7 linked regions of the Callithrix jacchus genome follow. The protein of the gene in region 2 purifies or fractionates together with the protein of the main gene of each other region. This does not show direct contact. Links are inferred from orthologs where the notes say so. Each region holds a gene or a part of one and is shown on either strand. Other genes may lie near its edges. The genes, in order: SMARCD2, BCL7A, DPF2, ARID1B, DPF1, SMARCC1 and SMARCC2.

The links.
Region 1: the proteins of BCL7A (region 2) and SMARCD2 purify together in Homo sapiens (affinity purification with mass spectrometry; 5 studies listed by BioGRID and IntAct, counting the BioPlex papers as one, with this or other methods). This does not show direct contact. The link is inferred for Callithrix jacchus from reciprocal best matches to the Homo sapiens genes BCL7A and SMARCD2.
Region 3: the proteins of BCL7A (region 2) and DPF2 purify together in Homo sapiens (affinity purification with mass spectrometry; 3 studies listed by BioGRID and IntAct, counting the BioPlex papers as one, with this or other methods). This does not show direct contact. The link is inferred for Callithrix jacchus from reciprocal best matches to the Homo sapiens genes BCL7A and DPF2.
Region 4: the proteins of BCL7A (region 2) and ARID1B purify together in Homo sapiens (affinity purification with mass spectrometry; 4 studies listed by BioGRID and IntAct, counting the BioPlex papers as one, with this or other methods). This does not show direct contact. The link is inferred for Callithrix jacchus from reciprocal best matches to the Homo sapiens genes BCL7A and ARID1B.
Region 5: the proteins of BCL7A (region 2) and DPF1 purify together in Homo sapiens (affinity purification with mass spectrometry; 3 studies listed by BioGRID and IntAct, counting the BioPlex papers as one, with this or other methods). This does not show direct contact. The link is inferred for Callithrix jacchus from reciprocal best matches to the Homo sapiens genes BCL7A and DPF1.
Region 6: the proteins of BCL7A (region 2) and SMARCC1 purify together in Homo sapiens (affinity purification with mass spectrometry; 4 studies listed by BioGRID and IntAct, counting the BioPlex papers as one, with this or other methods). This does not show direct contact. The link is inferred for Callithrix jacchus from reciprocal best matches to the Homo sapiens genes BCL7A and SMARCC1.
Region 7: the proteins of BCL7A (region 2) and SMARCC2 purify together in Homo sapiens (affinity purification with mass spectrometry; 4 studies listed by BioGRID and IntAct, counting the BioPlex papers as one, with this or other methods). This does not show direct contact. The link is inferred for Callithrix jacchus from reciprocal best matches to the Homo sapiens genes BCL7A and SMARCC2.

What each region holds. Positions count from the first base shown.
Region 1 is NC_133506.1:89,120,517-89,124,804, forward strand, and holds the start of SMARCD2 (SWI/SNF-related matrix-associated actin-dependent regulator of chromatin subfamily D member 2), read right to left. Parts: upstream 2,801-4,288; 5' UTR 2,790-2,800; coding exon 2,574-2,789; intron 1-2,573. UniProt on the Homo sapiens protein: Involved in transcriptional activation and repression of select genes by chromatin remodeling (alteration of DNA-nucleosome topology).
Region 2 is NC_133510.1:125,249,561-125,253,060, reverse strand, and holds part of BCL7A (B-cell CLL/lymphoma 7 protein family member A), read right to left. Parts: intron 3,297-3,500; coding exon 3,129-3,296; intron 1-3,128.
Region 3 is NC_133511.1:122,425,075-122,428,574, reverse strand, and holds part of DPF2 (zinc finger protein ubi-d4), read right to left. Parts: intron 3,463-3,500; coding exon 3,355-3,462; intron 3,030-3,354; coding exon 2,866-3,029; intron 705-2,865; coding exon 612-704; intron 458-611; coding exon 379-457; intron 1-378. UniProt on the Homo sapiens protein: Plays an active role in transcriptional regulation by binding modified histones H3 and H4. Is a negative regulator of myeloid differentiation of hematopoietic progenitor cells. Might also have a role in the development and maturation of lymphoid cells.
Region 4 is NC_133505.1:163,604,918-163,609,037, reverse strand, and holds the start of ARID1B (AT-rich interactive domain-containing protein 1B), read right to left. Parts: upstream 2,801-4,120; 5' UTR 2,498-2,800; coding exon 731-2,497; intron 1-730. UniProt on the Homo sapiens protein: Involved in transcriptional activation and repression of select genes by chromatin remodeling (alteration of DNA-nucleosome topology).
Region 5 is NC_133523.1:33,800,902-33,804,401, forward strand, and holds part of DPF1 (zinc finger protein neuro-d4), read right to left. Parts: intron 3,363-3,500; coding exon 3,312-3,362; intron 3,219-3,311; coding exon 3,099-3,218; intron 1,124-3,098; coding exon 1,011-1,123; intron 1-1,010. UniProt on the Homo sapiens protein: May have an important role in developing neurons by participating in regulation of cell survival, possibly as a neurospecific transcription factor. Belongs to the neuron-specific chromatin remodeling complex (nBAF complex).
Region 6 is NC_133516.1:30,366,093-30,369,592, reverse strand, and holds part of SMARCC1 (SWI/SNF complex subunit SMARCC1), read left to right. Parts: intron 1-43; coding exon 44-157; intron 158-1,239; coding exon 1,240-1,393; intron 1,394-2,707; coding exon 2,708-2,821; intron 2,822-3,500. UniProt on the Homo sapiens protein: Involved in transcriptional activation and repression of select genes by chromatin remodeling (alteration of DNA-nucleosome topology).
Region 7 is NC_133510.1:63,473,953-63,478,154, forward strand, and holds the start of SMARCC2 (SWI/SNF complex subunit SMARCC2), read left to right. Parts: upstream 1-1,402; 5' UTR 1,403-1,427; coding exon 1,428-1,538; intron 1,539-3,585; coding exon 3,586-3,705; intron 3,706-4,202. UniProt on the Homo sapiens protein: Involved in transcriptional activation and repression of select genes by chromatin remodeling (alteration of DNA-nucleosome topology).

The sequences.
Region 1 (4,288 bases), on a different chromosome or scaffold from region 2:
CCCAAACTCCCTGCCTGCAGCAGGACCAGGTAGCCCTGGCTCAATCCCCTGAACCCCAGAAGGATGCAACGCCCTCCTCTTCCTTGGCCTGGCACCAGCCCATATTCTAAGCTTAAGTCTACCACCACCACCAAGGGCAGCAGGGCAGGAGGCTGGGTCTGATGCTGTGGCCGCGAGGTGAGGCATCCAGGGCTCAGGCAAGTATGCTTTGACCTGCCCAAAATGTGGCCCTGATGCTCCTGGAGACTGGGCCTGAGGGCCTCGGTTGGAGAAACTACTGCCACCCTCCCGTGAGTAAAAAGTATCTTGAACTTTTTGAACTCTCTGGAGTGAACCCAACAATCTGTGGTTTTTGTTATTTTGTTGCCCAGGCTGGAGTGCAGTGGCAGGATCACAGCTCAATGCAGCCTTGAACTCTTGGACTCAAGCAATCCTCTTGTTACCGCATCCTGAGTACCTGGGACCATAAGTGCATACCACCACACTTGGCTAAATTTTTTTTAAGAGGTGACAGCCTATGTTGCCTAGGCTGGTCTTGAACACCTGGTCTCAAGCAATCCTTCTGTCTGGCCCCCACCCTCCCCCAAAGTGCTGGGATTACAGGTGTGAGCCACCACACCCAGCCCTGGAGGGTTTTTTCTTTTTTAGGCTCCTGTTACCTGTGATCCACAGCTAGGGCCACCCTCTGGAGGGAGGGAGGTCATTGCTTCCCTTCTTTCAACAGGCTCCCCTGTTTGCTCAGCTTGGGCCTCAAATAGAGTTTCCAGCACATCTCACGAGCCCTAACAGATAGGAATCCCTTTGTTCCCCAGATCTAAAGTCCCTTCTCCCAGAAGTCATACAACTGGACTTGAAAAGAGGGCAAGTAGGATCCTCTTCAAACTCAGCCACAGTTAGCTGCCTGGGTTCTCCTTCCCATCTACCTCTCCTTCCAGGAGGAAGAGGAAAGCTAGTGGGATGGGAAACTCAGATTCAGGGCCATCTCCAACATCCCCCCAGCTAGCAGACCAGGCCTAACCAGCCAGCCAGCTTGGCCTTGCTACAGGCCCAAGGCCACCCCCACCAAACACTGTGGAATCCATCCTCTCAGGGGCTTTCCGAAGGGCACATTTCCTATGGCTTACATGCCAAGGAAACTGGAGCCGCTTGTCTGTTCCAGGTCTGTCCAAGGCCGAAGGCCCACAGGTGGTGCCCAGGCCAGGTGTCAGAGAGCAGGTCTGAGGGTGCCAATAACTGATGCATGGAGCCCTCAGCAACACCCTGGGCCCATGAATCCCCAGGCGGAGAGCAAGGTGGGCCTCAGCTGGAGTCTCTGGGACCAGGTCTGTCTCTGCCCATACCCAGACCCTTTGTTTTCTCTTAAGGAGGAAGAATTAGTAAGGGGGAAAAAGAAATCCAGTCAGTGTCCCTAATTAAGTATCTCCTTAGAAATGAGGCTCAGGGGGCAGGTGGGCTGTGTATACTCCACGAGGATCCCTAAGGACCTCCACCTGGAGACCTGAGTCAAAAACAGAGAAGCCTCACGACAGACCCGGGGAGATGAGGAAGACACCAGCGTCAAATGCTGGGGCACATGGGTTGGGATGTGGCCGAGTTAGAACCTGAATGCCAAATAGAAGTGCAGAGCTGGTGGGAAGGCAGATGGGCAGTTTCTAAGCCTTCTGGGGCAACCTGAACAGCAGACTTGGGGACCGGCAGGGTCAGGCTGAGGTCCTCACACACTGAGCAGAAGTCGCTGCCTTGCAAGGGCTTTTGAAGCTGCAACCTAAGCAGCTCTCAAACCCCAAAGGGGTCAGGACGACACTCTTTGAAGCAACTCTCGCAGACTCCTCCCGCCCCAGACCAGCAGGGCTCCACTCTGCACGTCCAGACTAATCAACTCTTGGACACTATGACAGCAGGCAGAAAGGCCAGAAGAGAGGCGGCCTGTGACTGGGCTGGGCCTCCCTTCAGGCCTGGCCACCACCGTCTCTGGTTTAAGCTGGAGTCCTCGCCAGCGAAGGCCCTGCCTCAGGAGTAAAGTCCGCCGGTGCCCAAGCTGGAATCCCTGGCCCTAGCCTCCGCGTCCCGTGCCTGTGGGACGCCAGGCTCCTTCCTCTTCATTAGCAGCCGGGAACTATCTCAGACACGCTAGAGCTCAGCTCGGCCAGTTCCTAACCAGAAAAAACAGGGCAGACCTGGAGTGGGACCAAGGCCGATGCAGGGTAACCACGGTTTCTCAGCGAGGGCCCTTTCCCAAACTTTCTCATCACTTCCCAGCCCTCCTATCCTAAACTTCCCAACCCACCTGCCCACAATTCTCTGGCTCCCCAAACTCCTCCATCTCCCAGTCACTCGGAATCCCTGTGCGAGGAAGCCCCCAGGCCTTCCAGCTGCTTCCAGCCCTCCGCTACGGAACACGCTTCCTTTTCCCCACTCCTCCACCGCCACTCGCCGCACCCTGAGGGTCCCTACCCGCCCTCCACAGTTCCTCAGGCACTCCCCAGGGCCCTCACTCGAGCCCCCCTCAGCCCCCCGCCCAGGCGCCCTCACGGCGCTGCACGCCCCCGTCGGCTCGCGTCCTCTCTGCTCACCTGGTACTGCGCCGCGGGGCCCGCGGGGCCCATGGGGCGGAAGGCGGCGGCCCCGGGGCCCCCCACGCCTCCAGCTGGCCCTGGTCCCCGAAGCACCGGTCCGGGCAGCATGCCGGGTCCCGCAGAAGGCGGCGGCGCTCCCAGGGCCGCGGCCACCGCGCCGCCGCCAGGGCTCAGCGGGGGCAGCGGGAACCCGCCCGCGCCTCGGCCCGACATCGCTCCGTCCCGTCCCGCGGTGCCGCGATCCGGAATCCGGGCTCCGCGTAGAGTCCGCTCCGCGCTCTGTGCTCCGTGATCCGGGACTTGGCGATCTTAATTCCGGGTGCCGGGGTTTGTCGATCCGGGCTCCAGGATTTCCTAATCCAAGTTTGCGAGTTCCTCACAGACCTGGTTCGGGACAGATTCCGCTCCTGCCCGGGAGATTCCGGATCCAGGATCCGCTGCGGGCCCGCCTGCCGTCCCCGGCCTCTGGAGGTTTGGCTGCCCGAGTCAAGTTACCCAGAGGCGGCTACGAACTCCCTGCCCCGCCCAACTCAGCCCAGCCCTAGACCCCGCCTCTACCTGGTGCCCAATGCTCGAGTGTCTCCTCGAATCCCGCCCCTCGCGAGACCCTCCCCCAGCGGGCACCGCCCCTAACCGCCGACCTCAGAGCCCCGCCCACACCCCTTGGCCAGCCCTTTGCCGGAGGGGCGGGAGCGGAAGCTGCGCACGGAAGGGCGGAGTGAGGCGCGGGGTTAGAGGTCTAAGGTCACTTACGGGCTTCACAGTGAATGAGCGGTTGGTACTACTTTTTCCGTGTAGCACCCTCACCGAATTCCCCGGCCACACTCACAAAATAGTTTTGTCAAGTTTCCTTTCTGCATCTTCCGCGTTAAAGACCCATCTGAGAGCCGGGAGCGCGGGCTCGCGCCTGTAATCCCAGCACTTTAGAAGGCTGAGGCGGCGGATCACCTGAGGTCAGAAGTTCGAGACCAGCCTGACAAACATGGAAAAACCCTGTCTCTACTAAAAATACAAAATTAGCCGCGCGTGGTGGCGGGCACCTATAATCCCAGGTACTTGGGAGCTGAAGCAGGAGAATCGCTTGAACCCGGGAGGTGGAGGTTGCGGTGAGCCGAGATCGCGCCATTGCACACCCCAGCCTGGGCGACAAGAGCAAAATTCTGTCTAAAAACAAAAAAGACTCAGCTGCTCTCTGGAGCAGAACAGCAGCCAATTCGACTTCCTGTAAACCCTCATCCTGGTGGCTCAGAACTGCCAAGGGACCTAGGCGACTCCAGACTTGACCCAGCTGGTGAACGGTCGACTTGGCCAAGACTGAGTTCTTATCGCACATTTTTAACGTTGCTCTGCCTCACTTTAAAGAAGCCTGGTACTTTACTCCCCAGAAAATGCTTCTAGTCAAAAGAAATTTGGCTTATGAGAAATCTCCCCGCAGTTTTTAAAAAAAAGAGGTCTTTCTCCAGTATTTATAGCACTTAATTTTCAAAAATGCAGTATCTTCAGATACACTGTCCTGTATCAAAGTATTTGAAAATGCTTCAGCTGTGCCAGGGAGCCTACCGTCTGATGGTCTGGTTCTCCTTGCTGTGATACAGACCAGTGCTGCTTAAACTTTAATGAGCACATAAAAAACACCTGAGGCTCTTAGTAAACATGCAGATTATGATTCTTGAGGTCTGGGGTAGGGCCCAGGACTCTGCATTTCTAACAGG
Region 2 (3,500 bases):
AGTGGGGGGATCGCTGGAGCCCAGAAGTTCCAGATTGGCCTGAGCAACATAGCAAGACCCCATCTGTACAAAAAACTACAAAAATTACCAGGGCATGGTGGTACACATCTACAGTACCAGCTACTTGGGAGGCTGAGGTAGGAGGATCACCTGAGCCCAGCAGTTTAAGGCTACAGTGAGCTGAAATTCTATCACTGCACTCCAGTCTGGGTGACAGAGTGAGATCCCATTTCAAACAAACAAAAAACAAGAAATAGGCCGGGCATGGTGGCTCATGCCTGTAACCTCAACACTTTGGGAGGCTGAGGTCGGCAGATCTTGAGGTCAGGAGATAGAGACCATCCTGGCTAATATGGTGAAACCTCGTCTCTACTAAAATACAAAAAATTAGCCAGGCATGGTGGCACATGACTGTAGTCCCAGCTACTCAGGAGGCTGAGGTAGGAGAATTGCTTGAACCCGGGAGGCAGAGGTTGCACTGAGCAGAGATCGCGCCACTGCACTCCATCCAGCCTGGGCAACAGAGCAAGACTCCATCTCAAAAAAAACAAACAAAAAAAACCGCACACAAAAAAACACCAAGAAATATCTTAATTTCCCTTTTAAAATCTACAATAAGAAAAACAACAGCGGCCACACGTTAATACAGGTCTAGTGCCCTTAGGTCTTGGTTTGGAGTGACAAGAGGGAAGGGTCTCTTCGGCTTTAGCTGGTATCTGCCCCAGGGAAAAGCAGCCCTGGTCTCATCCAAGCTGATCTTTCAAAAGAAGCTAGAAATCGATCCCATTTTAAGCTCAACTTTTAAATTGTGACATCACATTCAAATTTAAAAAATGATACTGCTGGATTCTGTATGGCCAGACCCTCACAGCATGTGCTGGATGGAGTCTGCAACTCTGCAGTGAATCCTGGGTTCCAGTGTCTGTCCTCCCTGCCGACCTCTGAGTTCTCTGGGGGCAGGAAGCAGAGTGCAGCTGTGACCGGGGCCCCAGCACCAGCCCAGAGCCTCTGTGCACAGGGGCGCGGATCAGCTCTGTAGCAGTCCCCTTTCTCCTAGAACCACACTGGCTGCTCCCAAGACACACACACCTCGAGCCCTGAGGTTGCCCCACCTGCAGGCTGGCCACATTCGCCACTCCACACTCCGTGCTCGACAGCTCCATGGGGAGCTGTCCAAGGCGCTCTAGACCTGACCTGCCCTCCCCAGATCCGCTCAGCCACTGCCTCTCTCTCCAAGTGCCCAGGGTCACCCTCACCCCCATGTATTGCCTGACACAGGCTCTCACCTCACCTTCAAAATATACCTCCATGTTAGACCATCCAGAATGTCGCTCATTTTCTTAGATGCAATAACGGTGTTTGTAATTCTATACGAATGTCTTTTATTTTTTAGGAAGGTCTCAACCTGTGACCCAGGCTGGAGTGGTGCAATCACGGCTCCCTGCAGCCTTGACCTCCCAGGCTCAGTGAATCCTCCTACTTCAGCCTGGGACTCCACCTGCGGGCCACCATGCCCGGCTCATTTTTGAATTTTTTTGTAGAGATGAGGTTTCATCTTCTTGCCTAGGGTGGTCTCAAACTCCTAGGCTCAAAAGATCCTCCTGCCTTCGCCTCCCAAAGTGCTAAGATTATAAGCATAAGCTACTGTGCCCAGCCCAGAATGTCTTTATTTTTAAAAGACGTGTACTGCCATGTTTAGGGATGAAATGCCCTGTGATCTGTAACTTACTTTCAAATGGTCCCAGAAAAAAAACAGACAAAGCAAAGAAACCCCAACAGCCAACAACCGCCAAGCTCAGCAGGTGACATCCAGGACAGGACTAGGCTGTGCTTTCAACTTGTCTGTAGACTCAAAATACACACACACACATATATTTTTGTACACAGTCACACACACATACTCTCACAATCACTCCACCATCTGTTATTTTTTTTTGAAAGAAAGTCTCACTCTGTCACCCAGGCTGGAGTGCAGTGGTACAATCACGGCTCACTGCAGCCTCCAACTCCTGGGCTTAAGGGATACTCTGCCTCAGCTTCCTGAGTAGCTGAGACCACGTACATGCCACCACGCCCAGCTCATTTCTGAAATTTTTTTGTAGAGACAGGGCCTTGCTATGCTGCCCAGGTTGGCCTCAAACTCTTGGCCTGAAGTGATACTCCTGCTTCAGCCTCCCAAAGCATTAGGATTACAGGTGTAAGCCACCATTACTGGCCAATGGTTTGATTTTTATTTATTTACTTGTTTTTGAGACAGGGTCTTATCGTCACCCAGGCTGGAGTGCAGAGGCATGATCACGGCTCACTGTAGCCTTGACCTCCTGTGCTCAAGCGATCCTCCTACCTCGGCCTCCTGAGTAGCTGGGGCCACAGGTGTGTGCCACCACACTTGGCTATTTTTTTCTTTTTTTTTTGTAGAGATGAGGTCTTGCCAGGTTGCCCAGGCTGGTCTTGAACTCCTGGGCTCAAGCAGTCCTAAAGTGCAGGAATTACAGGCATGAGCCACTGCACCTGGCCTAATGTGTGTGTGTGCGTGTGTGTGCGTGTGTGTGTGTGTGTGTGTGTGTGAGTGCCATGGCTGTTTATTCACCTGGGGGCAGGTGGGCTAAGGCCGAAAAGGGCATTAGCCTGGCCTAATTTTTTTTTTTTTTGAGACGGAGTCTTGCTCTGTTGCCCAGGCTGGAGTGCAATGACATGATCTTGGCTCACTGCAACTTCTGCCTCACAGGTTCAAGTGACGCTCCTGCCTCAGCTTCCTGAGTAGCTGGGATTACAGGCACGCACCACCACACCCAGCTAATTTTTTGTATTTTTAGTAGAGACAGGGTTTCACTGTATTCTCTAGGCTAGTCTCAAACTCCTGAGCTCAGGCAATCCACCCACCTCGGCCTCCCAAAGTGCCGGGATTACAGGCGTGAGCCACTGTGCCCGACTCTTTCTGATTTTTTTAATTGCCCCACAGGACATGGTCATTACATGGTACAGAACATGTACTCCAGGTGTCACCTCTCCTCATCGTATCTTTGCTGGAGCAGGCACATGGCAGGGCCTCCTTGAACACCTAGCCACAGACTGCCTGAAGGCAGTTACAGGGAGACCGCCAGAGCCCCGCCCTGGAGGCCACGTACCTTCAGCTCCTGGGTGCTCCTTCCCATCAGCCTGGGCCTCGTCTGCCTTGGCCTCAGTGCCATCGCTGGGCACAGCTGCGTTGGGCTCCGGAGCGGGGCTGGAGTTGCTGCTGTTCTCTTGTTTGATGGGGGAGGCATCCGCGATGGAGCTCTGGTTGCTGTTATCATCTGTCGGGGGTGGGAACAGAACCATAGGATGAAATCCCACAGCTGCCAAGGACAGGTGGGCTGGGGGGCTCTGCCTCCCTGTGCCTCAATGCCCAGAGCCCCACGGCAGCTCTCTCGGGGAGGAATCTGGTTATCCTTTTTTTTTTTTTGAGATGGATCTTGCTCTGTCACCCAGGCTGGAGTGCAGTGGCTCAATCTTGGCTC
Region 3 (3,500 bases), on a different chromosome or scaffold from region 2:
GTGGGGCAAGCCAGAGAGAAAGAAAAAGAGAACAGACTTTGAAAAACTCAGTGTCAGACCCCTGGGGCCCTGGCTTAACTGAGGCCAGGAGACCTGCAGGGCATCTGCTGAGAGGCCAACCCTGCCTGCTGTGGCCCCCACAAGCAACCCCACCCCAGAGGATGGCAGAAATCTTTCCCAGAGCATGCAGGTTCCACCCATCATATAGCAGGGACCCAGGCCTCCCAGGGGTCTCAGAAGGAACCAGTCAGCAGGCAGGACAGGAACCCAGGTTTGTTTTAATACTCTGGGCAAAAACACAACCCTCCCTCCTCTCATATCCTGAGTAGGAGCTAGGGCCAAGGCAAGGTTTACCCCACCCACTTGTGAGGCACTCACTGTCACAGGCATAGGGCTTATCCCGATCCTCCAGGATGGAAGCATCCAGCTTCTTACGGGCACTGCCCACACCCTTACTCTGCCAAGAAGAGCAAAGAGACATCCTTACTGCGGCAGCTGGGCCTAAGGAGTTAAGACTCTTCTGGAAGTGGCTGCTAATCTCACTTGAAATAAAATGAGGAATTCCCCAGGCCACCCCTTCCCGAGATGCAGGCAACATGCTGGCCCCTCACCTTGGATTTCCCCTTTCCCCGACGCTTGGGAGTATCTTCTTCATAGTCTTCATCATCGAGGTCATCCAGGAAGTCATCTGGTTCTAGGATCCGCTGAGTGGACAGGAGGGTTAGCATGGGTAGAAATACGTGCATCCAAAGCTCCCCTATGATGAGACTGGCCAAGGCCGCCCAGAACCTCCCATGACCTGGTCCCACCTATACCAGCCTCATTCCTCACCACTGCCCTATAGGCATCCCATAGTTCTCCTCCCGTTCCCTTCCATACTTTGGGATTTCCTTCCCCTGTGCTTCACCTTGTTTCCTTAGCATGAAATGCTTTCCCCACCATGCCACATGGCCAAATCAAATAGCCCGCTTCCATAAAGTTTGTCCTGATACCCTAAGTAGCCACGCCTTCTCCTGCCTCTGACTGGCCACTCAGGGAGCACAATATTGGTGGTTCTGTTCTGACACTCACTTCCTAGTTTAAATGAAAGTGCTGTTGCTTATTTGTGTGACCTTGTGGGAAGTTTTTAAACTGCTTTGTTTTCAGCCTATCTGTGAAATGGGGAACACAGGACCTACTCCGTAAGGTTGTACAGACTAAAGGAAAAAGGGCATGAATAAGCATTTAGCCCAGTAGTAGCATATTTATAGCTCTTATAGTCTTATCTTCTCTGTTGGCAGAGACCAAGTCTGCTTTGCTGTGTAACCTCAGAGACCAAAAAACTTTGTGACACAAACTTTTGTGACAGAAGAGTAAAGTAGGGGCCGGCGTGGTGGCTCATGCCTATAATCCCAGCACTTGGGGAGGGTGAGGCAGGCGGACCAAGAGGTCAGGAGGATTACGCGGTCAGGAGATCGAGACCGTCCTGGCCAACCTGGTGAAACTCCATCTTTACTAAAATACAAAAGATTAGCCAGGTGTGGTGGTGAATGCCTACAGTCCCAGCTACTTGGGAGGCTGAGGCAGGCGAATCGCTTGAACCCAGGAGATGGAGATGCAGTGAGCTGAGATCGCACCACTGCACTCCATCCTGGTGACAGAATAAGACTCTGTCTCAAAAAAAAAGAAGTGTCAAGTATTCAGGGATACAAGTTTGTTCCTGACGCTCCCCCAGACAGGGCCTCCCTGTTACCCAGGCTGGAGTGAAGTAGCATGATCAGAGCTGCAGCCTCAATCTACTGGCTCAAGCAATCCTCCCACCTTGGCCTCCCGAGTAGCTGGGACTGCAGGTGTGTACCACCATGCCCAGAGACAAGGTCTTGCTATGTTGCCTACACTGAAAGTTTTTGATATATGCATCTTCCTCTCAAACGGTTTAGCAAAGTTAGATAAGGCAAATGTGGCGAAATGTTAAACTGATAAATCTAGGTTAGGAGTACATGGGATTTCAGCTGGGCACAGTGGCTCATGCCTACAATCCCAGCACTCTGGGAGGCGATCACCTGAGGTCAGGAGTTGGAGACCAGCCTGACCAACATGGAGAAACCCCATCTCTACTAAAAATATAAAATTAGCCGGGTGTGGTGGTGCATGCCTGTAATCCCAGCTAGTCGGGAGGCAGAGGCAGGAGGAGCCAGGAGGTGGAGGTTGCAGTGAGCCAAGACTGCACCATTGCACTCCAGCCTGGGCAACAAAGGTGAAACTGTTTAAAAAAAAAAAAAGAGTATATGGGATTTCACTGACCGCTATTGCACCTCCTGGTTTTAATTTTTTTGTTGTCCAGGCTGGTGTGCTGTGGCAAGATCACAGCTCACTGCAGCCTCGAACTCCCAGGCTCAAGCGATTCTCCCACCTCAGCTTCCCTAGCAGCTGGGAAAACAGGCGTATGCCGCTATGCCCGGTTAATTTAAAAAAATTTTTTTTTGTAGAGATGGGGTCTCATTTTGTTGCCCAGGCTGGTCTTGAACTCCTGGGCTCAAGTAATCCTCCTGCGTTGGCCTCCCAAAGTGCTGGGATTACAGGCATGAGCCACTGCACCTGGCCTATTTTAATTTTTTAAATGAAAATTATATGTATAATAACCTTCTGTGATAAAAGTAGATGAATGAGTGAGAGTCTATACTTAGAAGGAGCAGAAAAATCTAAATGGCAATGGAGAGGTCAGTCAGTATCTGACAATAATCAGGGTTTAAAGTAAGAACAGAACTGCAGGGGCCTGCTTCCTGGACCCCAGCTTCTGTTTCAGTTCTAGAAACTGGGTGGCCCCCAGTGAAGAGGAAGCTGATTTCTATCAAAGCTCCCTGAGCCACAGGGATAATCTTGTACCTTTCGCGCTCGACTGTTGGTCACAGGAAACTCGCCCAGGCTGTCATCATCAACTCGGGGATCCGGGGCACCTCGCTTCTCCAGGGGGTCAGTGCGCAACAAAGCCTCTAAACTACTGCCATCCTGAGAGATCAGCCCCTCCTTCTTCAGGGTCTGGTCTGTGTCTGCAAGCAAGGTCAGAATGAAGCAAGGCTCAGAAGGGCTGAAAGCAGACTGCTCTGAGTCCACATCATGTTGGGGCTTACCAAAGGTAAGTCACTGTCTTCTGTTCTCTGGATGCCCAGGAATGAAGACACCCTAGTTCAATTGGCACCATAACGTACCTGTTTACCTGTCTCCCCTACTAGACTAAGCTCCTTAAAGGAAAGAATCACATCATATTTATTTGAGTATATTCGGTATCTAGCACTGCGCCTGGTATAGCACGGTGATTAGCAGGCTCTCACCATGCAGCAGGCCACACCTCTGCTCAAGAAGTGTGTGCCTTACCTGGCTTAATAGATGGGAAGGAAAGTCGTGGATCCTCAGGGGGGTGGGCTCGACGTTTTTTCCGCCAGCGCCGGGCAGGGTAGGAATACAGCTGTCCAGAGGCCAATCCTGTGGCAGGAAGAAAGACAGAAGTCAGGCCCTAACCC
Region 4 (4,120 bases), on a different chromosome or scaffold from region 2:
AGCAGCCCGTAAGCCCAATAATGGATTTCCCTGGCTACTCTAAGGAACGAACCGATGTATTTTAGAATATTGCACCTCCCCGTCGTTGTAAATTTTGGAATTATTCCTGCCAGCAAACATTCGAGCTCGAAGCCCGCACCGAGTGTGTCTGAAAAGCTCTCCCTAAGTAGGAAAAACCCGCTAGCTTGTCACAAAGCTAACCTATTTTCCCTGCCTGGACCTCGGAAGCCAGGAGGGAACGAGCTGTGGCCCAAGGTGAGAGAAAGTTCCTCGTTCTTTCCCCCGTTAAAGCACACTGTGGGCGCTCCCAGAGCCGATCAGGTGGCTCTTCGCCCCGGCCGTCCGGGCCGGGTGAGCCTGTTTGTTACAAAAGCACCCGAACGGTCCCTGCCGCCCCAAACGGCGTCCGTGCGGGTGGCGCCTCGGAATCTCGCCTCGCGTTCCCGGGCCTGGGGGAGGGGTGGGGGCGCCGGTGCGGGCCGGCGGGGTCGAAGCCACCCGGCCCGGCCCGGCGAAGCCCTCCCAGGCCTGGACAGCTCGTCGGTCCCGGGGGCGCCCCGACCGCGGTGGGAGGCGGCCGCCCGTCAAGATGGCTTTGGGCGCCGCGCCCCCGCCGCCCCCGCCACCCCCGCGGGAAGACGGGGAAAAGTACGCGGCAAAGAAAGAAACTCAGGCTCGCGGCGCGGCGAGGCCGCCGGGCGGAAGCAGGCCCGGCCGGCGCGGGGGTTACCTGGGATCTGCCCATGGTCGGTCCGGGGGTGCCGGGACTCATCGCCGGGTGACTCCTTTGTTGCGCGGCCGCCCAGGCCGGGCTGGCAGCGGCGTACTGGGCGCCCATGTCCTTGCCCAAGCCCATGCCCGCGGCCGCCTGCTGGCCGCCCGCCGCCGCCCCCGCCGCCGCCTGGGACTGGGGCTGCGACGGCGGCGGCGGCGGCGCGCTGGGGCTGCTGTACTCGGGGTAGCTGCCGCCGTAGCTCCGCATCATGGGGCTGGGCGAGGTGAGCAGCTGGTTGAGGGTCGGGGTGGCCCCCGACGGGTGCTGGTTCTGCCCGGCGAAGCGCTGGAAGCCCCCCGCCGCCGAGCCGGCGGCCGCCTTGCTGAGGCTCGCGGCCCCGCCGCCCCCGGGGCCCATCATCATGCCGCCGCCCTGCTGCCGGGGGGAGCTCAGTACCCCGTACCCCGCGGACGAGCCCCCATAGCCGCCGCCGCCGCCGCCTCCTGCTGCTGCTGCCGCCGCCGCGGCCGCCGCCGCCACAGCTCCCGCTCCTGCTCCTCCTGCTCCTGCTCCTGCTCCTCCTCCTCCTCCTCCTCCTCCGCTGCCTCCTCCTCCTCCGCCGCCGCCGCCGCCGCCGCCCGCGCCGGGCCGGCTGTAGCCCGGATAATGGTTGCACTGGCTGTTGGGGTACCCTTCGTGGGAGTTCTGCAGGGGGTCCATGCTGCCGGGGGCCCCGGCGGCGGCGGAGGCGGAGTGCATCATCCCCATCCCGGGGCTTTGTTGTCCGCCATGTTGATCAAAGCAAGGCCCAGCGCGGCCGCCGGGGCCGCCGCTCGCAGGGGCAGCGCTGCCATAGTAATTATTAAACTCCGGGACGGCCGCCGGGCCGCCGCCGCCCCCGGGCACGGCGACCGGCGGCTGCTGCGCGCCCAGGGCGCCCACGCCCGGGTGCTCGTAGCGGCCGCCCGCCGGCTCCCCCATCTTGGGCGGCGCGTCGTCCTCGTCGCCCGGCTTGCTCAGCAGCGGCGGGCCCGGGGGGTCGGCCTGGCCGCCCGCGGCACTGTCCTTGGCGCCTCCATGTTGCGGCTGCTCCATGTCGGGGCCGGGCTGAGGCGCGCCGCCGCCCGCGCCGCCCAGGCTGTTGTTGTTGGAAATGGGATGTTGCTGCTGCTGCTGCTGCTGTTGCTGCTGCTGCTGCTGCTGGAACTGGTTTAGCTGCTGCTGTAGTGCGTGGTGGTGGTGGAGGTGGTGGGCATGGTGGTGATGGTGGTGGGCATGGTGGTGGTGGTGGTGCTGCTGGTGGGGCGGCGCGGCGGGGGCTTCGCCAACGGTTTTCAGTTTGTGGTTGGGGAGCAGCCCCGTCTCCATGGCCGAGCCCGGGCCCGACGAGGAGGAAGAGGACGCCGCCGCCGCCGCGGAGGAGGAGGAGGACAGCGCGGCGGCGCTTCCACCCTCCTTGAGAGCCGCCTCGGAGCCGCCGCTCTTGGCGCTGTGGGTGCCGGCGGCGGCGGCCGCGGTGCCCGCATTATGGGCCATGTTGAGTTCGTGACGGGGGAGCAGGGGGTGGTGGTGCACACTGTTCAGGCCGCCGCCGCTGTCGCCGCCGCCCCCCGGCATGGGTCCCGGTGCCGCCGCCGCCGCCGCGCCGCGCGCCCCCGCCTCCAGGTCCCGGGCCCCGGGCGCCGGCCGCGGCCCGGGGGGCGCCCGCCGCTCGCCGCTGCCTGCCCGCGCCCGCGCCCGCGCCGCCGCCGCCGCCGCCGCCGCTGCTGCCCGCGCGGCCATGATCGCCGCGGCGTGGCGAGGCCGGGCGGGGGGTGGGGGGAGACAATAACCCCCACTTTTCAGGCCGCGGCCCCTCCTGTGCGCATCCACGCGGCCCGCCGGGAAGCCGCGACCCCCTCCCCCTCCTCAGGCCCCGCCGGAGCGCCGGGCCGGGCACGCCTTACGCTCTGGGCCTGCTCCTGCTGTGTGCTTTCATGGTGAAAGTTTTTAGTTCAGGTTTAAATGAAACTTTTCTCTTTTCCTCTCTAACCCGGATATGGGTAAATACACGACTGGCTGAGCCTATCGGGCCCAGCATGGCATGAGAAGAAGCGGGCGAGCTCCAGCAACTATTATCCACTTCGCTCGCATTACTCCCGCGCACTCGCAAAACGCGGACTGGACTCGTCCCCGGGCTGCAGTCGCCGCCGCCCGCCCGCCCCGGCTCAGCCTCGCGGGGCCCAGCCGGGCTGGGACTAAGGCTGGGGCCAGGGCCGGGGCGGCTCGGCGGCGGTCCGGAGCGCGGCGGCGTGGGGCGGCCGGAACCTGCACTTTCCCCCCGGGCCGCTGTCTCCTTGCCAACCGGGCGTTCGCGTGTTTGTTTTCACGTCTAAAAGGAACGATACAAAGGTGGAAAACGAGTCTGACGAGCAGACAAAAGAGGGAGAAGGGCCGGAGAACAAAGTTGTCTGTTGGCCTCAGAGGTTACAAGGAGCCGACGGAGAAAGAAAATATTTAGGCAATCTGTGCAAAAGCACGGTCTCTCCCAGGAGTTATGTAATTCTCAGAACGTTTGCCTCTGCCTTGATTTCGGGCCATCGGCGTAATTCCCACAACTTCTTCCAACTGCAGAATTAGTAAAGATTTGAAATGAAAGTTAGCCCCGGTCAGAGAGCCCTGTGCTTTGTACACAGCAGGTACTTAATAAATGTTTATCACTCGTTCCAAAGAGAATGTTTACATAACTCTTTCTGAAGACACCTTAAACACGTATTAGGCTTGTCAAGGAAAACTCCAAGTATTCCCAAAGGAGCATTTTTCTTATTATGTGCACTTAGATGTCCTCTCTCGAGTATGTACAGAGGTGTTTTCTGCTCCAACTTCCACAGGAAAATTTAACTCTTGGTGCCAGAACAGCGACAGCTATGGGTTAGCTTGTATCTTCATAAATCTGCATGACACCTTTCATCCTATTTCAGAGCTGCATGTACACAGTTAACCCTCTTGATATACATTCAAAGAAATGTGAAACAAAACAAAAATATTATAAACATTATATTGAATAAATGTAACCAATAATAATGTAAAACAGTCTAATCCTAAAGTAGAAACGTTCCATACTTTGTTCTCTTAAAAACTGGTGTCTATCATTTTACAATGTTTTAAACGTTTGCATTGTTACTAGTGTTTTAAATATTTGCATTGTTATTAATCATTTAGTAACATTTTGAAAAGCAAGACTTCTTAATCTTAGGCAATGGCCCACTTGTACCAGTGCGGACTCAGTTTTCACGGAGAGAAAGCATTTAAAAGCTGGCAGAAACAATATTTAAGGTTTTGTTAGGGCATAGTTTTCCAAAATTATTTCATTCTTCAGCTTTCCATAAAAACTATTTTGATTCATTTCCACTGCAGTGGTTATTT
Region 5 (3,500 bases), on a different chromosome or scaffold from region 2:
AGGGTCCTACCCTGTCACCTAGGCTGGAAGTGCAGTGGTGGTGCAGTCACAGCTCACTGCAGCCTCACACTCCTGGGCTCAAATGATTCTCCTGCCTCAGCCTCCTGAGCTGGAACTATAGGACTGTGCCACCATGCCTGGCTTTTTCTTTCTTTTTTTATTTTCTGTAGAGACAGGAGTCTCACTATGTTGTCCAGACCGGTCTAGAACTCCTGGCTCAAAACTCCTCAGCCTCCCAAAGTGCTGGGTCCACCATGCCCCGCCTGTGGAAAGCTTTATGTGACACTAAGGTGATCTGATGCCAGCTCTGCCAGCAGTGGTCATGGCCTTTTTTTTTTTTGAGACAGAGTCTAGCTCTGTCACCCAGGCTGGAGTACAATGGTGCTATCTCAGCTCACTGCAACCTCCACCTCCCCGGTTCAAGTGATTCTCCTGCCTCAGCCTCCCGAGTAGCTGGAATTACAGGCCCCCAGCTAATTTTTGTATTTGTGTAGAGACGGGGATTTCACCATATTGGCCAGGCAGGTCTCGAACTCCTGACTTTAGGTGATCCACCCACCTCAGCCTCCCAAAGTGCTGGGATTACAGGTGTGAGCCTCCCAAAGTGCTGGGATTACAGGTTACCCAGGCTGTGGAAGGCTTTAAACAACACTAAGATGCTCTGACACCAGCTCTGCCAGCAGTGGTCGTGGCTTGAAACCTCAGCTCCACCACTTCCCTTGCTGGCTGACCTGGGGCAGGGTCCTTCCCCTCTCTGAGCTCGGTTCCTTCCCTGTGAAGTGGGGACAGGAACACCTGCCTCAGAGGTGGCTCTAGGGAGGAGCCGGAGAGATGAAGAGGAACAAGTACCAGGTTTGATTTATGGACACCAGCATAATGATAACACAGGGGACTCGTGATCACAGGGAGGGCTCAGGCACAGGCTTTAGGCTGGAGGGGCAGAGGCGGATGCATAGGCGGGGCAGGCATCGGGGGCACGGCGGGGGGGGGGGGGGCCGGGCGGCACTCACGTCGTTCTCAGAGGTTCCGCACAGGCTGCAGGATTTGCATTCGATGCACTGCCAGCGGTAGGTCCTCACGGCTGCTGTCATGTTCACCGTGAATTGTAAACACGAGGGGTGTCCTAAGGGCCAAGGGGAGGGGGTGCAGTTAGGGGGTCACCACGCCCCTGGTGGGCACTGACAGCTGGGGGAAGCCATAGCTCAGCCCCTACCCATGACTCATGAGGCCGGGATGAGCCGCCAGGGTCCCCACACCTGCCCAGCAACCACGTGGCCAGCCTCAGTCCCCCGGCCACCACAGTCTCCAACCACACCCACCATGGCAACCACACTCTGCTCCCAGAATGCCATGGCAACCGCATTCCATTACCCACAGTGCTGTGGCAACCCCTTCTACCACCCACAACGCCGTGGCAACCACACTCTTAACCACCGGGCTGAGACAGCCACGTTCCATTCCCCACAGCAGAGTGGCCAGGGGTCCTGCTAACCACAGCAACGTGGCAGCCACACTCTCCCAGCCACAATGCCATGGCAACTGCCTTCCACAACAAGGTCCCCACACCTCGGTTTCATGCCATGAAAGCCCATCCCACCTGATGCCCCAGCAACCAAACTGCTACCCACAATACTGTGCAGTGCCAGGCTCTTAGTCATTCCGTGGCCCCAGCGCAGAGACACCCGAAAGGCCGCTACCTGCAGCCCTGACCCATGGTGCACGTCGCCTGCAGCCATGGCCCCGCTGCCATCTCAACCGCATTCCGGGATACCGAGTTACCATGACAACCATATTTCACTACCCATGATGCCATGACAACCACCATTCATGACCCACTGTGCTGAGAGGCAACTGCAGTCCAGCATGGGGAACCACCTTCTGTTAACCACAGTTCCACCGCAAGCCCAGCCTGCTACCAGCGCCCAGGCGGTGGCATCCGTCATTCACACCGCACAGCCTGCTACCTGCCATGCCTTGGCCACCGTCTCTTGCTACTCCTTTTGTCTCGTTTTGGTTTTTGAAACAAGGTCTCGCTGTGTCGCCCAGGCTGGAGTACAGTGGCGCCATCACAGCTCACTCTGCAGCCTCGACCTCTGGGGCTCAAGCGATCCTCCCACCTCAGCCTCCCAAGTAGCTGAGATTGATAGAGTGCAAAACTATCCCAGCTATTTTTCTTTTAATAGATGGGGTCTCACTATGTTGCCCAGGCTGGTCAGAAACTCCTGTGCTCAAGGGGCTGGGCGAGGTGGCTCACGCTTGTAATCCTAGCACTTTGGGAGGCCGAGGTGGGTAGATCACCTGAGGTCAGAAGTTTGAGACCATCCTGGCCAACATGGTGAAACCCTGTCTGTACTAAAGATACCTAAATCCCTGTTACTTGGGAGACTGAGGCAGGAGAATCACTTGAACCCAGGAGGTGGAGGTTGCAGTGAGCCGAGACTGGCCCACTGCACTCCAGCCTGGGTGACAGAGGGAGACTCCATCTCAAAAAGAAAAAAAAAAAACTCCAGGGCTCAAGCAAGTCTCCCACCTCAGCCTCCCAAGTAGCTGGGACCAATGTGGTGTGACACCATAGCCAGCTATTTTTTTCATAGATGGGATCTCACTGTGTTGCCCAGGCTGGTCTCAAACTCCTGGGCTCAAGCGAGCCTCTGGCCTCAGCCTCCTGAGTCACTGAGACTTATAGGTATGCAACAACACACCTGGCTAATTTTAAAATTTTTTGTAGAGATGGGGTATTTCTGTGTTGCTCAGGCTGGTCTCAAATACCTGGCCTCAAGTGATTCTCCCACCTCGGCCTCCCAAAGTGCTGGGATGACAGGCGTGAGCCACCACACCCAGCCTCTCACACCCTTGATGCCATACTAAGCACAGTGCCATGAGAGCCACATCCCATTATCCCCGGAGCCTCATTGATCTGACCCAGTTCCCACAATCCTCAGCATTTGAATCAGCCTCACTAACTGTGGTTATCCGCAGTATCCCCGACAAACTCCGGGTCCCCCTGGTCCTCACCACCCTGCCTCCCACCCTCCAGTTCTGCACTCCTAGATGTCCTCTGCACCCAGCCCCCAGAAACCTCAGGTGGGGACTGTCACCTGATCGCCCACAGTCTGCACAGGAGATGAGGTCCTCGGGACACCCCGTCTTCTTGGAGCCCCCCAGGCAGAAGTCACAGTAGCCGTTAGGGATGACAGTGCCGTCAGGCGCCTTCTTGGCTGCAAGACAGCAGACCAGCATTGGTGAGGGGCAGGCGGGGGCACCCAGCAAAGGTAGCTGCAGACATTAGGAGCAGAGGGAGGCATCCGTACCTGTGTGTTTCCTTTGTGCCTCAGGGACCCAGGCCAATTCTTTGTAAAACTCTGGGGTAGGGGGGACAGAGAGAGGGGCTCTCACCACAGGCAAGGCTCCACCCTGCCCCCAGCCTCAGGATGGACCTCTTGGTCCAGGTGTGGGGAGGTGGGGAGGTGGGGAGAGTGAGTAGCTTCCCTAAACTGTGG
Region 6 (3,500 bases), on a different chromosome or scaffold from region 2:
AAGAATACATATCCACCTTATGAATTTTGCCATTGATTTTTAGATACTTGGCATATCGAAATTTTATGATTGACACGTATCGCCTAAACCCCCAAGAGTACTTAACCAGCACTGCTTGTCGGAGGAACTTAACTGGAGATGTATGTGCTGTAATGAGGTAAAGCATTTGACTTTTTCTGAGACATTTCACTGTAGGAATTTACTGATGCATTGCTATCGAATGTTTGCTTGATTAAACTGGATATTTCAACTGGGTAAAACACCTAATTTTAGTTATCTCATTTAGGGGTTGATTATATTTTGTTTCTTTTTATTTCATTCAATTAAATTATTTTTATTTTATTATTTTAATTTAATGTTATCATGATGGGGTTTCACAGTGTTGCCAAGGCTGTTTTCAATCTCCTGGCCTTAAGTGATTCTCCTACCTTGACCTCCCGAAGCACTGTGATTGCAGGTGTGAGCCCTGGATTCAGGATTAGGAGTTGAATATTTAAAATACTTAATTTAGGCTGGGTGCGGTGGCTCATGCCTGTAATCCCAGCACTTTGAGAATCTGAGGCGTGTGGATCACCTGAGGACAGGAGTTCAAGCCTGGCCAACATAGTGAAACCCCGTCTCTATTAAAAGTACAGAAATTAGCTGGGTGTGGTGGCACATGACTATATCTCAGCTACTCAAGAGGCAGGAGAACCCAGGAGACAGAGATTGCAGTGTCATCCAGCCTGGGTGACAGATCGAGACTCTCTCAGAATAAATAAATATTTAATTCAGTTTTTTAGATTTTATAATTCATATTTTTAATTTTTTGTCAAATCATAAAATAAGCAGGGATGGAGTGGGTTCAGGTCGAGAGTGGATAAGCTCTGTGCCCTAGATCTGCCTAAAGACAAAAAAACAAAATGTGGATTTTTTTGGTGTGTATATTTGGTCTGTGTGTGATTTCATTTATTAAAATGGACCTAAATATGTATTTGTGCTCTCATTTCTGTGGTTGAAATGATTAGATTTTGTAATAGGTTTAGGGGGTGCTGTGTTATCAACGTTACTTGTGACTTAAGAAATTCTTCCTCAAAATCTGTCAGGTAGTTTGTGGTGTTTCATAGCCTGCTGAGAATATTTACTTCTTTTATTGTTTCTGTTTTTTAATAACATCATGATGATGATGATGATGATGATGATGATAAAGCACCTGAAGTTGATTCTGTAGATTTTAACTTTTCGAGCTTTTTTCTTTAGGGTCCATGCCTTTTTAGAGCAGTGGGGACTTGTTAATTACCAAGTTGACCCGGAAAGTAGACCCATGGCAATGGGACCGCCTCCTACTCCTCATTTTAATGTATTAGCTGATACACCCTCTGGGCTTGTGCCTCTGCATCTTCGATCACCTCAGGTAAATTAATGTCGACTTTTTCTTCAGAACTGGATAGTAACACCTGACTATTTACAGCATATCTATTTAGGAATAATTGTTATTGTATTATAATGGCTATTAATAGTGCTATTTCTTTTATGGTTGGTTGTGTGTGTGTGTTTTGGTGTACTGTAAATATTACAGTCCAAAATAATATATGCTATTTAAGTTAATGCTGTCCCACCAATCCCAAGACCCACTGCCTTACTCTATCAAATTATTAATTTACTTTTATATACATAACTTCCTTTATCCTTCTGTCATCAGATACTCATAAGTAAGCAGATGATGCAAAATGTTTTTTTTCTTCCTTCAGTCTTTGTTCTAAAAATGTGAGGCAAAGAAATCTTTATAACTTGTCCTAAGATTTATAAAGTTTATATTCATATATACATTATCAAACAGATTATGTCAAGGAAATTGTATTTAGCATTAAGTTGTATTTACAGGAACCTAAGGTATAAGAATTTTGTCCTATGGTGAAATAGAAGATAGTAATGAAAATTTTTTATCCTTTTTGGGACTTAAATGGACGCGAAAATGTGTCTTAAGTGTTGAATTTTTGTTAGAAGTATAGTGTAGAAGTGTGGGTATTTATTTTTTTGTAGGAGATCCACCAAGAGTGGTTTAAGTGCCAATATTAAACAGTTTTTTTTTTTTTGAGCTGGTGTTGTTCTCTCACCCAAGCTGGAGTGCAGTGGCGCAGTCTTGGCTAACTGCAACTACTGTCTCCCAGGTTCAAGTAGTTCTCCTGCCTCTACTTCCTGAGTAGCTGGGATTGCATTCCCTGCTAATTTTTGTATTTTTAGTAGAAACAGGGTTTACCATGTTAGTCTGGCTGGTCTGGAACTCCTGACCTCGTGATTTACCTGCCTTAGGCTCCCAAAGTGCTGAGATTACAAGCATGAGCCACCGTGTCCAGCCCCAGCAATTTTTTTTTTTTTTTGAGGCGGAGTTTCGCTCATTACCCAGGCTGGAGTGCAATGGCGCGATCTCGGCTCACTGCAACCTCCGCCTCCTGGGTTCAGGCAATTCTCCTGCCTCAGCCTCCTGAGTAGCTGGGATTACAGGCACGCGCCACGGTGCCCAGCTAATTTTTTGTATTTTTAGTAGAGACAGGGTTTCACCATGTTGGTCATGCCGGTCTGCTGACCTTGTGACCCACCTGTCTCAGCCTCCCAAAGTGCTGGGATTACAGGCATGAACCACTGCGTATGGCCCAGTTTTTGAAAAACATTTATCCTCTTGACTTTAAAGAGGTTAACTCAGCCATTTATCATTTATTTGACTCAGGTCCCTGCTGCTCAACAGATGCTAAATTTTCCTGAGAAAAGCAAGGAAAAACCAATTGATTTGCAGAACTTTGGCCTTCGTACTGACATTTACTCCAAGAAAACATTAGCAAAGGTAAGGATTTTGTTTTTAATCTAAACTCATGCAGGGTATAATCCAGCACGTCTTAGTACTTCTATGATACATCTAATGAGTTTTCTACTCAAATCTGGTGATATTTAAAAAAACACTATTAGAGAAAATCGAGGGGGGGAATGGAAAATTTGAACAGATAATTGGAATCTGTGAAAAGAATCATGAGGTCGGGGGTGGTGGTTCATGCCTGTAACTGCAGCACTTTGAGAAGCCGAGGTGGTCGGATCATGAGTTCAGGAGATAGAGACCATCCTGGCCAACACGGTGAAACCCTGTCTCTAATAAAAATACAAAAAGGAACTGGGCATGGTGCACATGCCTATAATCCCAGCTACTTGGGAGGCTGAGGCAGGAGAATAGCTTGAACCAGGGAGTCAGAGGTTTGCACCACTGCACTCCAGCCTGGTAACAGAGTGAGACTCTGTCTCAAAAAAAAAAAGAGTCATGAATATTTTAGAACTGAAAAGTATACTTGAAATTATTTGATGGGTTTAATAACAGGCTGCATATAGCAAAAGATAGGTTAGTGAACTCAGAGACAAATTAGTATATATGTGGAAACCTAGGTACCAAGAGCGAAAGAAATTGAATTGAAGTAGGGAGGGGCTAGGATAAAGAGAGGAGAGTGCAAAGATGTGATACAGTACAGGCTGGACAT
Region 7 (4,202 bases), about 62 Mb from region 2:
TGCATAATTAAGCTTCCCAAGATCACTCTCATCCTCCCAAATCCAGGGGTAAGACCTTTTGGCAGCTTCCCTTTTGGAGACAGAAAGGAAAAGTGCACAAAAGACACGTGCGAGAACTAGGGTTACCTTTACATGTTAGGAAGGGGGTTAAAAAAGTCGCCATCAGGCCGGGCGCGGTGGCTCGCACCTGTAATCACAGCACTTTGGGAGGCTGAGACGGGCGGATCACCTAAGGTCAGTTCAAAAACAGCCTAGCCAAATGGTGAGACCCCGTCTCTAGTAAAAATACAAAAATTAGCCAGGTTTGGTGGCACATTCCTGTGGTCCCAGCTATTCGGGAGGCTGAGGCAGGAGAATTGCTTGAACCCGGGAGGCAGAGGTTGCAGTGAGCTGAGATCACGCCACTGCACTCCAGCCTGGGCAACAGAGCAAGACTCCGTCTTAATTAAAAAAAAAAAAAAAAAAAAGGCCATCGTCACGAACAGGATTCGAACCTGTGCGGGGAAACCCCATTGGATTTCGAGTCCAACGCCTTAACCACTCGGCCACCGTGACTTCCAAAACCGCGCTTTATCGCGCGCTTACAGAAGGGGTCCGCACTGCAACCGGGAAAGGCATACAAGAACTGAAAGCGGGGGCCCGGCCGCGAAACACACACCATAGAACTCCCCACCCCTAGCTCCTTACCTCCTATCTATGCCACTCAAAGAAAAAGAGTCGGATGAACCGGGTGGCCCAGGGAGGGAGGGCCTCCTGCCTAGCGAAGAGCGAGGTCTCAAGGAGCTCACAGCTACTTAGGAGGCGATGGCGAGGCCTGCGGAGGAAGCAGCCGAGGGAAGGGACTGGGGCCCCAGCGTGGCGGCTAGGGAATTTTTGGGTTAACAAGTGAGGGGGGTGCTGGGTGGGACCAGGCGCGAGAGGTGAGGGAGACTCAGAAGAGTTTAAATAGGCAGCTCCTGGGAATGGATGGAAGGAAGGAACTTCTTGGGGAAAGGGGTTTGGGTTTTGGAGGACTAGGGGCTCCGCGGGGTTAGGAATGCGCAAGGTGAGAGCCACTCTGGGGACCGGCGGCCGCCCGGGGTGGGATGGCGAGGTGATACTGCCGAGCTGAAGCAAAAAGAGGAAAAGGGCTTCGCGTCTGCTAAGAGCTATCTCTGGAGAATGGCGCCCCCTCCAGGAAGCGTCCTCCTCCCCGGAGGCTCCCGCCGCCGCTGCCGGGGAGGCCGCCAGGGTCGTCCCGCACCAGGAACTCCGCCGCCGCGCCCGGCCTGCCGGCAGGGGGCGCAGCGCGGACCGGGGCCGGCCCAGGCGGCGGGAGGCGGCGGCCGCGGCGGCGGGAGGCGGCGGGAGGCGGGCGGAGGAGGAGGCAGAGGAGGCGGGAGCTGAGCTGAGTGGGGCGGGCGGCGGCGGGGCCCGAGCCCGAGAAGATGGCGGTGCGGAAGAAGGACGGCGGCCCCAACGTGAAGTATTATGAGGCCGCGGACACCGTGACCCAGTTCGACAACGTGCGGCTGTGGCTCGGCAAGAACTATAAGAAGGTACGCGGGCCGGGCCGGGCCGCTTGGCGACCGGGGGCGGGACAAAGGGACAGCGGCCCTGCAGCCCCAGGATCCTGCCCACCCTCCAGCCGCCCCGGCCCCTCCCCCGCGGCCTCGGGAGCAGCCCCCCGCGCGCCCTCCCGCGCGCCCGCGCCCCTCCCCCAGCCTCCCTCTCCCCGCACCCCCAGCCTCCGAGCCCAGCCCCCGCCCTCACTGCTGCGCCCTCTGCCCCTTGTTTTTCTCCACTGCCCGGCGGGCCCCGATGCCATTAGCCCACCTTCCCCCTCAGCCATCGCCCTCCTGGCTTTTCTGGGAGAGGCGGCCGGCCGGGAGTGGACCGGGTGCCCAGTGAGCTCCCCCGCAAACCCGAGCATGCCCGCCAGAGCTCCCCACGGAGCCAGGTACCAGCGGGGCTGAGGCCTCCCCAGTGCTTTGTATATGTTCAGAGAGAGAGAGGATGGAAAGCAGGAGGGTAAACAGTCACACAGCAAGCCGCTGGCTGCTCATCAGCCTGAAAAAGGTCCCCACCCTGGGATCACCTGTCTCCGCCGCTCATCCCCCACCTTCATCTAAGGGGAAACAGAATCTCTCAGGGAGCCGGGGTATAGGAGTTCCTGGGTAGCGGCCCCTTCTGAAACCTTTCCTCGATTTTACAATGAAGTCACCCTGCAACCTAGCTTTGCAATACCCTGGGTTTGGGGTCCAGAGGTTAGGGTGAGCTTTCTGTCTCTAGCTCCTCACCCCCTAACCCCAGAACTGGAGATCATAAGGTAGTGAACAAAGGGTTCAGGAATCCTTACCTGTCTTTTCTACTAAACCTCTTCCTGGTGTCGTCTTTGTCTCTAGGCCTGGTTTTCTCTGGAAATGGTCTGCCTCTCTTCTTTCTCACTACTCCCAGAGAGGGGTTCTCTTTGTGGCTTTCTTTCAGCTCCCTGGTTCTTCCTGCCGGCTTTGCAACTAGTCAGAAGTGTGCTTAGTGGCTTAGGAGAACTTCCTGCTGATCCTGGTTATGAGACTAGTCCTGCCCTTGGGGTCTCTCTGGGTGTCAGAATCCTGACAAATAGCTGCTGTTTCTATGGCTGGTCTCTGCCCCTTTGTGAGGCTCTTGTTCCCAGGCCTTTTGACCTTTTGCAGGGAGATTAGGCTAGGGGCTTAGCCTGTAGCCTTGGGGTGATTGACAACTGTGACCTGGTTCAGCTTCCATGCTCTTAGCTCTTTGTCATTTACCTTTCCCTTCACAGATATCTTTTCACCTCTCACTGAGAGGTGCTGTCTTCTTTGTGATGAGGGTGGAGAAAACAGGTCAAAAGGTAAAAAGAAAGTCTCCTGGCTCAGGTTCAAATTAGAATGGAAGGCTAGGATGCTGCTAGGTAGCATAATGTGGAAACAGTGAAGCAGGACCAGGGTTACTTGTCTCAGATACAGTTTCCTCCGACAGGGTAGATGTCTTGCTCTTCTCCATCAGGCTAAGTAGCCCATGGCCCTTCCTGTCTAAGAGGGCATATGAAGACGTTTATACCCATTCTTCAGAAGCAAAATGCACAAGCTCACTCTCTCAGTCAGCTTGCCCTCCTTGACTTCCTTGACCTTTTCTTGTTAGGCTACATTATAGGGGGAATCATGGCTTTACACAGAGTTCCCCTAAGAAATACACTTTTGTCTCTCGTAGAGCCCCAGAGGTATTGCTTCCATGACCTCATCTCTGTAAACCTCCAGAATTTTACAGCCCTCAGTGCTGTGGGCTGAAGATGAGGTGCCAAAGTACTAGGGTCCTGCAGCTCCAATTTCAGAGTGTAGCTGAGGATGAGTAGTAAGCTTCCCTCTTCCCCCACACTGGCAACCTGGGCTGCTGGCAGCAGTGTTTCAGCTTCCTGGTTGGGGTGTCCAGGGTCTCCCTTCTGCCATTTTCTTTATAGAGACTAAATGGAGTAAAAGACACTATTTTCTCTGCTCCAAATGCTTCCAGAGTGCCTGGGGGAGAAATATGGGAGATAGTGGACAATTCATCTGGGGTCTATTTTTCTTTTCTTTCCCTCTTTATCCCTAGTATATACAAGCTGAACCACCCACCAACAAGTCCCTGTCTAGCCTTGTTGTACAGTTGCTACAATTTCAGGAAGAAGTTTTTGGCAAACATGTCAGCAATGCACCGCTCACTAAACTGCCGGTGAGTGCTGAAGTTGGGGGGAGGGTGGGGGGGGGCTGGTGGTGAATCCTTCAAACTGGAGAGTTGTATTTTTTAAAATATTTGTGAATTTTGTAATTTTTGAAATTTGGATTATTTTCTACCATTCCTATCCCTGGTCAGGGCATTATTGGCTTGGCCTAGTCCCCAATTTACCATTCCTTTTGTCTTAGTAATACTTTGTGCAGAGTGCCTGAGATTAGTCCCCGAGTCTCTCATGGTATGGTGAAAGGGGGTCTTGAGATTTGGATTTGCGCGGGCTTGTGTTTACATCCTGGCTTTGCCACTTCATGGCTCTGTGACCTTGGGCAACATTCATCAGTCTTGGTTCCTTCATCTCTAGATGGGATTAGTAAATCTACCTTGTAGGGTTTCTATAGTGGTAGCTGAGGTAATTCAGTAAAGTGTTAGCATATATTGGTTTCTTTCACTCCCCTCTTCCAGGCCACATGATGCAATGGCACAGGGGTTAAAGAATT